Saccharomyces cerevisiae S288C: one gene and its partners. The protein of the gene in region 4 interacts with the protein of the main gene of each other region in a biochemical or structural test. Each region holds a gene or a part of one and is shown on either strand. Other genes may lie near its edges. The genes, in order: CYC7, COX17, HYR1 and MIA40.

The links.
Region 1: of the proteins of MIA40 (region 4) and CYC7, one has a biochemical effect on the other in vitro, tested with the Saccharomyces cerevisiae proteins (one study listed by BioGRID).
Region 2: the proteins of MIA40 (region 4) and COX17 form a complex in vitro, tested with the Saccharomyces cerevisiae proteins (2 studies listed by BioGRID).
Region 3: the proteins of MIA40 (region 4) and HYR1 interact in a test that uses a peptide from one of them, tested with the Saccharomyces cerevisiae proteins (one study listed by BioGRID).

What each region holds. Positions count from the first base shown.
Region 1 is NC_001137.3:78,855-82,007, forward strand, and holds CYC7 (cytochrome c), read right to left. Parts: upstream 1,124-3,153; coding exon 782-1,123; downstream 1-781. Other genes in the region: chitin transglycosylase UTR2, read left to right, coding at 1-602; putative acireductone synthase UTR4, read left to right, coding at 1,608-2,291; RAD23 (Rad23p), read right to left, coding at 2,553-3,153. UniProt on the Saccharomyces cerevisiae protein: Electron carrier protein. The oxidized form of the cytochrome c heme group can accept an electron from the heme group of the cytochrome c1 subunit of ubiquinol-cytochrome c oxidoreductase.
Region 2 is NC_001144.5:130,362-133,398, forward strand, and holds COX17 (copper metallochaperone COX17), read right to left. Parts: upstream 1,054-3,037; coding exon 844-1,053; downstream 1-843. Other genes in the region: PSR1 (phosphatase), read right to left, coding at 1-252; DRS1 (putative ATP-dependent RNA helicase), read left to right, coding at 1,368-3,037. UniProt on the Saccharomyces cerevisiae protein: Copper chaperone for cytochrome c oxidase (COX). Binds two copper ions and deliver them to the Cu(A) site of COX.
Region 3 is NC_001141.2:421,036-424,246, reverse strand, and holds HYR1 (peroxiredoxin HYR1), read right to left. Parts: upstream 1,120-3,211; coding exon 628-1,119; downstream 1-627. Other genes in the region: GTT1 (bifunctional glutathione transferase/peroxidase), read left to right, coding at 1-438; sepiapterin reductase family protein IRC24, read left to right, coding at 1,382-2,173; NRE1 (sepiapterin reductase family protein), read left to right, coding at 2,457-3,211. UniProt on the Saccharomyces cerevisiae protein: Involved in oxidative stress response and redox homeostasis. Functions as a sensor and transducer of hydroperoxide stress.
Region 4 is NC_001143.9:74,180-77,974, forward strand, and holds MIA40 (Mia40p), read left to right. Parts: upstream 1-1,641; coding exon 1,642-2,853; downstream 2,854-3,795. Other genes in the region: palmitoyltransferase YKT6, read right to left, coding at 753-1,355; threonine--tRNA ligase MST1, read right to left, coding at 3,079-3,795. UniProt on the Saccharomyces cerevisiae protein: Required for the import and folding of small cysteine-containing proteins (small Tim) in the mitochondrial intermembrane space (IMS). Forms a redox cycle with ERV1 that involves a disulfide relay system.

The DNA of each region.
Region 1 (3,153 bases), on a different chromosome or scaffold from region 4:
CCATTGCATGGTCTGGTGGTGAAATTAATTGGGACGCATCCGATATCAGCAACCCAGGATATTATTATGCTATTGTCAATGAAGTTAATATCACATGTTATGATCCACCAAGCGATACCAAGAAGAATGGTACTTCTGCTTATGTGTATACTTCGTCCAGTGAATTTTTGGCCAAAGACATTGCTATTACCGATGATGAGGTCATGATGGACAGTGATGAGGGATCTGGCTTGGACCCACATAAGGGAGCTACCACATCTTCCACCCAAAAGAGTTCTTCCTCAACTGCAACCTCTTCCTCCAAAACGTCATCCGATCACAGCAGTTCAACTAAGAAGAGTAGTAAGACTAGTTCCACCGCTTCATCATCATCATCATCATCTTCTTCTTCTTCTTCTTCTTCCTCTACTGCTACTAAGAACGGAGATAAAGTCGTATCCTCCGTATCCTCTTCCGTCACTTCCCAAACTCAAACAACATCTTCTGTAAGCGGAAGCGCCTCCAGCAGTACAAGCTCAATGAGCGGTAATAACGCAGGTGCCAACGTAGCGGCAAACTGGCGTTTGACTGTTTTATGTGTCATCCTAGGTTATGTCTTATAGGAGGATCTGCATCTAAGAACAAATAGGCTACACAGGACTCTCAAAAAAAAATGTATTAATAAATAAAAGAACTTAAATATAGACTTTTTATTCGCATGCATATAAAAATAATTAATTAATAAATAACTGTAAAAAACTAGAATAATAAAAGTAATAAATATCTCCTCCGACGACATAGCCTATTTGGCAGCCTTTGTCATATAAGTAATTAAATCGTTTCTGTCCTTTTCCTTCTTCAACCCGGCAAACGCCATCTTGGTACCAGGAATATATTTCTTTGGGTTCGTCAAGTACTCGGACATACTATCCTCATCCCATTTGACGTTCTTGTTGATGTTTGCATCTGTGTAAGAATAACCCTTTACCTGACCTGAATGTCTACCAAAAATACCATGTAAATTAGGTCCAACTTTGTTAGGACCACCCTCTTCTATTGTATGACACTGCTGACACCTCGTTTTAAACAATGTAGCACCCTTTTTTGCAGAGCCTGGTTTGAATCCCGTACTTTCTTTAGCCATGTTTTGTTTATGATGTAATGTAGTTTACTGAAGTTTACTTAAAGTAATGTGAATAAATGCTTGTATGTGATCTTCTTGTATAAGTCTTTGATTTTGTTTCAACCTCAACAAAAAGAGAACTATTCTGATCTAATCTTCTCGAGCTTCACAACACGATATATATATATGTTGTGTGCCTTTGTCTTTGCCCCTTGCGGCCACTTATAGTAGTTGGAACTTGAATAAATGCCCTCGCTATTATCGCTATTAGCTTTGAGAAGGTGGGAAAAGACCCCTCGGCGGGGGACTGCAGACCCTTCTCAGAGAAGGCACGAAGGAAAATAATTCAATAAGGGGCGCTATAACCCGGCTGCTGATCCATTTCTTTTTTCGTTTCTTTTTCTTCAAGCGGAATGATAATAATAATACCAACGATGACGGTGGTGAGTGGGATGAATATGGAATGGTCATTGGGCAAAAGGTCCTGCTAGCTCGTATACCAAAAATGGGAGACAATTACTCGACTTACTTGCTTGATATTGAAGGGACAGTGTGCCCGATCTCGTTCGTGAAGGAGACTTTATTCCCTTATTTCACGAATAAAGTGCCGCAATTGGTTCAACAGGATACAAGGGACTCCCCGGTTTCCAACATTCTGTCGCAGTTTCACATCGACAATAAGGAGCAGTTGCAGGCGCATATTTTGGAGTTGGTGGCCAAGGATGTGAAGGATCCAATCTTGAAACAGTTGCAAGGCTACGTCTGGGCTCACGGATACGAATCTGGGCAGATTAAGGCGCCCGTTTATGCAGATGCTATTGACTTTATCAAGAGGAAGAAGCGTGTGTTTATCTACTCTAGTGGATCTGTAAAGGCACAGAAATTGCTGTTCGGGTATGTTCAGGATCCCAACGCGCCTGCGCATGATTCGTTGGATTTGAATTCTTATATAGATGGTTATTTCGACATCAACACTTCTGGAAAGAAAACCGAAACACAGTCTTACGCCAACATCTTGCGGGATATCGGTGCGAAGGCTAGCGAGGTACTGTTCTTGAGCGATAATCCATTGGAATTGGACGCAGCGGCCGGCGTTGGAATAGCTACTGGGTTAGCTTCCCGACCTGGTAATGCACCTGTCCCCGATGGGCAAAAGTACCAGGTATACAAGAATTTTGAAACTCTTTAACAAAACTGTATATATGCGCTAAAAGCAGTATAATCATTATTTGTTGTTGTTATTATTATTATTATTGTTATTATTATTATTATTATTATTATTGAGATTAATATTACCATCTCTCTGTTTTCTTTTCTTTCCCTTCTAGCATATATAAATACACATACGTTATTGATTTCTACGTAAGCTTTTTTTTTCCCTTGGCTCAAAAATCATGCAACATTGTCGAGAATAAGTGAAGATACTTCAAGCCATAACATTACTACAATCTCAGTCGGCATGATCGCTGAATAGAATATTTGCTGCAGCTTCTTCGTTTTTATCGCACGCAAAATACACCTGGATAACAAGATCTCTTTCAAAGCCCAATTCACAGAGGCGCGAAATAGCTTGATCGTCTTCGGGGGTATAGTCAACTTGGAAAGAACCTTCACCTTCACCTTGTCCCAGTCCTGCAGCAGCAGCCTCTCCTGTAACTTCTATATCCTCTCCTTCCACCATATCATCCGCACCTTCCATAACATCTTGCATATTGTCACCCACGGCTTCTAGCAACATGGACACAAACACTTCTGGGTTTGCCATGATATGTTCACGTAATTGAGGATATCTAGCACTTATGTTTTCCAACAATGGGGCTAAAGCTTCTGGGTTACCTGAAACGACCTGTCTCAACGATAGTAAATCTTCTACAGTGAGGCCAATGGAACCTGGAGGTCCACCTTGCGCAGCATCTGTAGCTCCTCCAGTTGTGCCAAGCGCACCGGATGAAGCATTACCGCCTTGGGCAGCTTGTGCAAATAAGTCGTCTTCAGCCGGTTGTTCCGCAGTGGTGGCGGCTGTCGATGGTTGTTCCGCTGCGGCGGCTGTT
Region 2 (3,037 bases), on a different chromosome or scaffold from region 4:
TTTTTCATTATCGTTCGTGCTTATCCCAGATTTACCGGTGGATCGTTCAGTGGAACTGAAAGTAGCGGCTGAATTTGTCTTAGAAGGAGGAGAGTTTGTCTGATGTACGCCACGGGTTCGGCTTTTCGTGTTGGAATGTTTAACGCTTCTGTTTTTATTGAGAGAACTGCTCTGTTGTTGGCGATAAGCAGAATTGGAATTGGATTGTGTCGTCTCGGAAGAGCAGCACAGTATTGACGATATGAAACCCATACTGTTTTGCTACTTATTGTTGTTAAAGCTTACGAACACGAATGTAGGCAAATAAAAAGCTTGGATAAACGCACAATGAAAGGGGAAGTGCGATTGATTATGCTATAAGGAATGACACGAAGAGAGCAGACTATAGGCTAGGCAGGCGATAAAGGAAGGAGTTGTACTTGACGACAACGTAATAAAGAGTTCAATGAAAGAGTATTGTGAGCAGTATGGTTCAACGAGCACTTCTTCTCGACACCTATTTCTATACTTTTTCACTTAATATACACTAACTAATCCCAGACTTTTTTTTTTTTCCGTTCTTTCCAGAAAAAAAAGAAACAAAGCAAGCGTGCCCTGACTTAGGGTTTCCTAAAAAAGTTATTAGGTTTGTGTCACGTGATACGTCCTTTTCTGGTCACGTGGTCTTAGAACACTCTTAAGGGGCCAAGCACAAGAGGACAGTGCTAGCAGTAGAAGTGGTGTAGTAGTGATGAGGTAATGTTAATTGTGCATCGCACATATTTACAGGTAGTATATACTATAGTTTGTGAATACCTATTCTTATATATACAAGAAATGGTTGTCGGCAGACTGTCAGTAAGACTAATTTGCACTTGGAACTTCGAAGCCATAACCCTTCATGCACTCTTTGTACTTTTCAATGAATTCCTTGCATTTTTCAGAGTCTTGTCCATTGAATAAGATGCATGTATCCCGCTCCTCCTTTTCTGGCTTACAAACGCAACATGGCTTAGGTTTGTCCTCGCACTCCGCGTGGTTTTCTTGTTCTTGTTTCTTGTCAGTTTCAGTCATTGGGTATAATTGATTGTGTAGTTATCTGATTGTGTACACTAAAATTTTGTTTAGTTGTACTAGAGACAAGTAGTTAGGTGGTTACTAGATTCTGATTCGCCGCTATATATCGTCATTTTATCTTTTTTTGAAGGAGATAGGTAGGGTTATAACATTATCCGGGTAATGATTTGAAAAAAAATTTTCAAAAAATGCGATGAGATGAGGTTGAAAATTGTAAGTTAGAATATGCTTAGATAGTATGAGTATTTACGTTGGTAACTTGGGTTTCGAATTGGAGCTGTGTGCCTACAACAGCGTCTTATATATATACTATGGTGGTAGGAACTAAAAAATACTCTAATTTGGACTTTGTCCCTACAATCAGTGACAGTGAAGACGATGTTCCAATTCTAGATTCTTCTGATGACGAAAAAGTCGAGGCTAAGAAGACTACGAAGAAGCGGAAGGGTAAGAATAACAAGAAAAAGGTTAGTGAGGGGGATAACCTCGATGAGGATGTTCATGAGGACTTGGACGCGGGGTTTAAGTTTGATTTGGACGCCGATGATACCACTTCGAACTTCCAAGGCTGGAACTTTCTAGCAGAGGGCGAGTCCAATAAGGACGATGCCGAAGCTTTTGTGAAGAAGGACGTTGACTTGGATAAGATTATTAGAAGAAAAGGTGGGCTGGTGAAAATGGCCCATATTGATAGTAAACAAGAAGAAGAAACCGAGAAAGAAAAAGTAGAAAAAGAAAACGATAGCGACGATGAGGAATTAGCAATGGACGGGTTCGGTATGGGAGCTCCCATGAACAATGGAGACGAAAATCAGTCAGAAGAAGAAGAAGAAGAGGAGGAAAAGGAAGAGGAAGAGGAGGAAGAGGAGGAACAAGAAGAGATGACGTTAGAAAAAGGCGGCAAAGATGACGAAATAGATGAAGAAGACGATTCTGAAGAGGCAAAAGCCGATTTCTATGCGCCTGAAACTGAGGGAGATGAAGCTAAAAAGCAAATGTACGAAAATTTCAACAGTTTGTCTTTATCTCGTCCGGTTCTTAAGGGCCTTGCAAGTTTGGGTTACGTCAAGCCTTCCCCTATTCAAAGCGCCACAATCCCCATTGCCTTATTGGGTAAAGACATCATTGCCGGTGCTGTGACTGGTTCCGGTAAGACTGCTGCGTTTATGATTCCCATAATCGAGCGTTTGTTGTATAAACCAGCCAAAATCGCTTCCACCAGAGTTATTGTTCTATTGCCCACTCGTGAGTTAGCTATCCAAGTCGCTGACGTTGGTAAACAAATTGCACGTTTCGTCTCCGGTATAACCTTTGGTCTGGCCGTTGGTGGTTTGAACTTGAGACAACAAGAACAAATGTTGAAATCTCGTCCGGACATCGTCATTGCTACCCCAGGTAGATTCATTGATCATATCAGGAACTCAGCAAGTTTTAATGTGGACTCAGTAGAGATTCTGGTTATGGATGAAGCCGATAGAATGTTAGAAGAAGGTTTTCAAGATGAACTGAACGAAATTATGGGCCTATTACCAAGCAATAGACAGAACCTATTGTTTTCTGCTACAATGAACTCCAAAATTAAAAGTTTAGTTAGTCTTTCTCTAAAAAAACCAGTAAGGATTATGATTGATCCTCCAAAGAAAGCTGCTACTAAGTTGACACAAGAATTCGTTCGTATTCGTAAAAGAGACCATTTGAAGCCTGCCTTGTTATTTAATTTGATTAGGAAATTGGATCCAACGGGTCAAAAGAGGATTGTCGTTTTTGTGGCTAGAAAAGAAACTGCTCATAGGTTAAGGATTATCATGGGTCTTTTAGGTATGAGTGTGGGTGAATTACACGGTTCTTTAACCCAAGAACAGCGTTTAGATTCCGTTAATAAATTCAAAAATTTGGAAGTTCCTGTACTTATCTGTACGGATTTGGCCTCCAGAGGTCTTGATATCCCCAAGATTGAGGTTGTTATCAACTACGATATGCC
Region 3 (3,211 bases), on a different chromosome or scaffold from region 4:
CACGTTTTAATGAGCGAAGATGCTGATATTGCAGACCAGATTAACTATTATCTGTTTTATGTAGAAGGTTCCTTGCAACCACCTTTAATGATTGAGTTCATTCTTTCAAAGGTGAAGGATTCTGGTATGCCCTTCCCTATTTCGTACTTGGCAAGAAAAGTGGCAGACAAGATCAGTCAGGCATACTCTAGTGGTGAAGTTAAGAACCAGTTCGACTTTGTGGAGGGTGAAATTTCCAAAAATAACGGCTACCTGGTTGATGGGAAGTTGAGCGGTGCCGATATCTTGATGTCTTTCCCTTTGCAGATGGCGTTTGAAAGAAAGTTTGCCGCACCAGAGGATTATCCTGCCATTTCCAAATGGTTAAAGACCATAACCTCAGAGGAGTCGTATGCTGCTTCTAAGGAAAAGGCGCGTGCTTTAGGTAGCAATTTCTAAACCGTTTTGTTGCGTTCGTACGGCACTAGCAGCCGCGTAATTCGTTCACACACTTCAATACATATGTATGTATACGTATATAGTCTGTTGCGACACATAATAATTGACAGGTTTGACTAGCGAGTATGTATTATCAGGAAATATAAAAGAAAACTAAGCTTTACCTAACTTCAAAAGAAGAAGACCTGCCTATTCCACCTCTTTCAAAAGTTCTTCGATGGTTTCGGACAACGAAGAAGGTTTGGTTAGTGAAGAGTATCTTTCGTACACTTTACCCTTTTTATCGACTAAGAATTTTTCAAAATTCCATTTGATACCTCTCAAGCCCAACATACCGGATTTTTGGCTCTTCAAAAACTTGTAAACAGGGTCCTCATTGCCACCATTAACGTCAATTTTTTTCATAATGGGGAAAGTCACGCCATAGTTCAGTTGGCAGAACTGGGCAATTTCTTCATCAGAGCCAGGTTCTTGGTGGCCAAACTGGTTGCATGGGAACCCGATGATGGTAAATCCTTCGTCCTTATAACGTTTGTACAAGGCCTCTAGTTCTTTGTATTGAGGAGTGAATCCACATTTGGAGGCAACATTAACGATAAGCACCACTTTTCCCTTTAATTGGTCGAAGGGGAATGGTTGGCCTTTCTTGTCAACAGGTGCTAGCTTATAGAATTCTGACATGATAAACTTGAATACTTTACGAGATGACAGCTTGGAAGAGAGAGACGTGGAAAGCTCTGATGCTGTTTTTATTACTATTGCTTTTCCGATATTAAGGGAGCATACTGTTCCTCATGGTTTTTTCCCTCTTTTTTTCACTTTTTGACCTTTTTCGTAAAGTGGCTAAAAACGATAATGCAGAAAAAGAAGAAGGAATACAGGAAATAAGGGCTGTCGCGAACAGCAACAAGAGAAACAACTTATAATCTGTCAAAGAAGGGATATGGGCAAGGTTATTTTGATTACAGGTGCCTCCCGTGGGATTGGCCTGCAATTGGTGAAAACTGTTATCGAAGAGGACGATGAATGCATCGTCTACGGCGTAGCAAGAACGGAAGCTGGTCTGCAGTCTTTGCAAAGAGAATACGGTGCAGACAAATTTGTCTATCGTGTCCTCGACATCACGGACAGGTCTCGAATGGAAGCGTTGGTGGAGGAAATCCGGCAAAAGCATGGAAAACTGGACGGTATTGTCGCAAATGCGGGGATGCTAGAACCGGTGAAGTCCATCTCCCAGTCCAACTCCGAACACGACATCAAGCAGTGGGAACGGCTGTTCGATGTGAACTTTTTCAGCATTGTCTCTTTGGTGGCACTGTGTTTACCCCTCTTGAAGAGCTCGCCATTTGTAGGCAACATTGTCTTCGTCAGCTCTGGAGCCAGTGTGAAACCATATAACGGATGGTCGGCGTACGGCTGCTCGAAAGCCGCATTAAACCACTTTGCCATGGACATTGCCAGTGAAGAGCCCAGTGATAAAGTGCGTGCCGTGTGTATTGCACCGGGCGTCGTTGACACGCAGATGCAGAAAGATATTAGGGAAACATTGGGTCCTCAGGGCATGACACCCAAGGCTCTCGAGAGGTTTACTCAATTGTACAAGACTTCGTCACTGCTGGACCCAAAGGTGCCTGCGGCGGTACTAGCGCAACTCGTCCTGAAAGGTATTCCCGACTCTTTGAACGGTCAATATCTCCGCTACAACGATGAGCGACTGGGGCCGGTGCAGGGCTAGTACTAAACTATATTATGTAAAAGGGTATAGTTATAGTTTTTAGCTACTAAACTTTTATTGGGTTTGCGATGAGCGACAGTTTTGTGCGGCCATTTCTGTGCCAAGAACCGGATTGAATGTATCACCGAAGGAATTCCGCGGTGTTTTCAAAGAAATGAAGAGAAGACAGTATGAACATTAACTTTTGCATATATATACGTAAACGAAAAAGATCAAGTGCAATGGAAGAATATTGTACCTAAAAAAAAGGGTCTAACTACAGCGTGTAACAGGTTAAAAAAACATGGGTAAAGTTATTTTAGTTACAGGTGTTTCCAGAGGTATCGGTAAGTCCATCGTGGATGTTCTTTTCAGTTTGGACAAGGACACGGTTGTTTACGGTGTAGCCAGGTCTGAGGCACCCTTGAAGAAGTTGAAAGAGAAGTATGGCGACAGGTTTTTTTACGTTGTCGGTGATATTACCGAGGATTCCGTGTTGAAGCAGTTGGTTAACGCTGCTGTTAAGGGCCACGGCAAGATCGACTCCTTGGTTGCCAACGCTGGTGTCCTAGAGCCCGTGCAAAATGTCAACGAGATTGATGTCAACGCTTGGAAGAAGCTGTATGACATCAACTTCTTCAGCATTGTTTCCTTGGTTGGCATTGCGTTACCTGAATTGAAGAAGACCAACGGTAACGTGGTATTCGTCAGTTCGGACGCCTGTAACATGTACTTCAGCAGTTGGGGAGCTTACGGTTCTTCAAAAGCCGCTCTGAACCACTTCGCCATGACTCTGGCCAACGAGGAAAGGCAAGTGAAAGCCATTGCCGTCGCCCCAGGTATTGTGGACACAGATATGCAAGTTAACATTAGGGAGAACGTGGGGCCTTCCTCCATGAGTGCAGAGCAATTGAAGATGTTTAGAGGTTTAAAGGAGAATAACCAGTTGCTGGATAGCTCTGTGCCAGCTACAGTTTATGCCAAATTGGCCCTTCATGGTATTCCTGACGGTGTTAATGGACAGTACTTGAGCTATAATGACCCTGCCTTGGCGGACTT
Region 4 (3,795 bases):
AGGGCATACGCCAGTACAGTATTATGGACTCATGCCATCGAGGTTACATAGAATTAGTTTAAACAAAAACCAACTATCCTCTAATATCCATGGTACGAGTATATATAATTGTATGAAGTGTAAGAATATGATATAAATAATGAGAGCACTCATAGAGAGTAACGGCGCTGAATTGTAAGAACTGTCACGTAGTAACACAATCACTGAAAGCATATAAAGTGAAATGAGAAACGGTAGTAATATCATATGCATTACCAATTCCTTTTAGTGAATTTCCATGTGCCCGAGGGGGGACTTCCAGTATATTCTGTTACATTTAAGTAAATACTTCATCAACAAATAGGGCCCAGCGGTTTCTTACACTAATTATACATTTACAACGTAAATGCTCCAGCTCAAGCATTATTTATATATCTTGTTTTCAAAAGAAAAATATAGCAATTAGACTCCATGGCCAAGTTGGTTAAGGCGTGCGACTGTTAATCGCAAGATCGTGAGTTCAACCCTCACTGGGGTCGCTTATTTTTAACTTTTTTACACTGAAGAAACAAATCAATTCTAATACAATGCCAATGGCTTCAAATCAACCTTTGGTTATAATAGTTAGGAGAATCGATGCTTACATAGTATATTATTTAAACAATTAATTTGATTTAAAAGATTTTTGTTTCCCTTGCTGCTGTCATTGGCTTTCTAAATTACATAAAGCAGATGAAAAGCCACACTATGCTGAAAATAGTGTGTGGATGCATCTACATGATGATGCAACACGAATTGGATTTTTTAGCTTGCTTATAAAACATTTTGGAACTTGCCGTTAATGACTCCGATTTGTCCACCAAATTATCCAACTTTTCACCTCTTTGTAAAACATTCTCAATCGTTTTGTGCAAAACGATTTTCGTCTCATCCAGTTCTTGTTGAACTTTCATGATAGCGTCAGCCTGTGAAGGATCTTGATATTTGCTAATGTAAGTGTCCAGTTGCTTCATTTTCAATGCATCATTGGTCTCAGTCACATCTGCCCACTCTTCCTTAGGATGTGCGACTAAATATTCATCCAATATTTTGTTTAATAGTGTGTATGCTGGTCTGACAGGATATTCTTTGTCGGTGATCAAAACACCACATATGCCCTCACTCCTGGCATAAACGTGGCCAATATAGTTGCCTTCTTCTATACTTTGTCTTTGTCCTGCACCAGTTCTAGAAGCGACCGTTTCAGCAAAAAAAGTCATAAACTGGCCAACACTAGACCTTTCAAAGAAACCAAATTGTGACAAGTCTTTAACTTCACTCAACTCTAGAGCCTTTTCTCCTCCAGAGCGAAATACACCGATGTAGTAGATTCTCATTGCCAAAATAACTTCTCTAGTGATACGTAAAGCTTCAGAAATGCCCTAGCCTGGTCTAACGCAGTCAAACTGTGCCAGAGACTTTTGTATATTGTTCATGTTGATATCTATTGTGCTTGCTCTTGATTTCACACCAAGCCAATCGTTCTGTACGGCACGCCACCCAATAAGAAAAAAAGGGAAAAGGAGCCGAATTTTGGTTTAAAAACATATAATGCTGAAATTGTGGAACACCAATTACCAACTGGAAGTAGGCTCGATCCAAAGAGTGTATATTATCAGTAAAATGCTTCGCAACTTAGTCGTCAGGAATGCGTGCAGAAACAGGCCGTCAATTCAAGTGGCAAGGGGGTTATGCCGACACCAAACAAGACGTCTCATGGCGTCCTCCCCTCAGTTCGGTAGGAACTCCAATCAGGAAAAAACAGCGGGCTTTATAATGGGGATTCTTTCTATGGCTGGTGCTTTATATTTTATTGCTCCTAATAGGAAGCCTCTTTTCGCCTCAAGGAAGGTAGAATCCGATAAAACCGCAGAGGAAGAGCTTTCCAGTGGTGGTGAGCAATCACCAGAAAATGAAGATGACAACAACAGCAAAAGCGATGAAAATGGAGATGACAACGACAGCAAAAACGATGAAACTGAAGCTGGCCCTCAATTAGGGGGTGATAAAATTGGTGCTTCAAAAGTAGCTGAAGATGGTGAATTGGTTGTTCTAGCAGAAGAAGACAACAAGTCTTCCGAAGATAAAGATACTGATGAATCAAAGGTATCAACCAAAGATGATGAGCAATCCAATGAAGACAATGCCACCGCTAACAATCAAAAGGATGAAAACATAAGTTCTGAGAACTCGGAAGAAAATACTAGTGACAAAACACTAGACAACAATGCTGGATCTTCTGAAAAAAAAGATCCAGAACATTCAGATGATGAAAAATCGCAACAGGGACAATCTGATGACAAGACAACTACTGAAGATAATAATGGAGAAGAAGAATCCTCAAAAAAAACTGTAAGTGACTCGGAAAATTCAGCTAAGCAATCTGAATCTAGCGATGAAGAGAAAGAAGAACTAAGAAAACAAGAGGAAAAGCAAATGGGTCCTACTGAAGAAGAGGTTCAACACGAAGGTGCTTATAACCCAGACACTGGTGAGATAAATTGGGACTGTCCTTGCTTGGGAGGTATGGCCCATGGACCCTGTGGTGAAGAGTTCAAATCTGCATTTTCTTGCTTCGTCTATTCTGAAGCTGAACCAAAAGGTATCGACTGTGTTGAAAAGTTTCAACATATGCAAGACTGTTTCAGAAAATACCCCGAGCATTATGCAGAACAACTAAAGGAAACATCTGATGATGAGGAACCTCAAGACAAAGTAAAGGTCAACACAATAGAATCAGCGCCAAATGTTTCAAGCGCAAAGGAAAATGCTGCGAAAAAAGCAGAGCAATCAGATGTGAAAAAAGAACCATTGAATGAGGAATCCAAACCTTAAAATCTCCTGAAAATCTCCCGAACGTAAAAAGTATAAAAGTATAAAGGATGATACATGTAAATACAGTAATATTATCTTAGTTTAATGACTACATATGGTATAATATGTGAAATATACATGAATTAATGCATCTGTGGGGCGGATGAGTCTAGTCTCTGTATGAATCCAGCTATACATCAAATCGTATCCTTTTATTTACAGGGCAAGTTTGTCATATATTTTAAGTTACTTGTAGTTTTTTTCCAGCTCAATAAATTTTTCCCAAATTTGAGACATTGTAAGTTTCTCGAAACTCTTTCTATTATCACGTTCTCGAATGTTGTATTTCTGTAACTGTACTTCCTCATCACCCACGATAATTAAATAGGAATAGTTTTTCAAAATGGCCGACTTGATCCTATACCCTACGGGTTCGTTTCTTATGTCGAGATCAACATTGAAATGCCAATCATTTAAAGGAACTGGTTCCATGTCGTCGGCTTCCAGTTCATTACGTAGTTTTTTCTGCAAGGCAGTGCACATGTCTAGCTGTTGCACATTTTTCGTATTGACGGGAATAATTACAGCTTGGTAAGGATTCAACCAAAACGGCCAACGGCCCTCATTAGAATCTATCAGTAAAGCCATAAATCTTTCGATAGAACCAAAAGTAGCTCTATGAATCATAATTGGCCTCTTGTACGAGTTGTCTTGATCCTTGAATTTCAAATCGAACCTCTCAGGTAGCTGAAAGTCCAACTGAATAGTAGCGACTTGATGAGTTTTGCGTAAATGGTCCGTAACCATTATATCCAACTTTGGACCATAGAACGCACCATCACCAGGGTTCAGTTTCCACGGTTTGCCTGATTCTTCCAAGATTTCCTTGAGTACTTGCTCAGCATGATTCCAAACTTTGAGGTCTCCAATGAAGTGATCCGGTCTTGTAGAAAAGTTTATAAA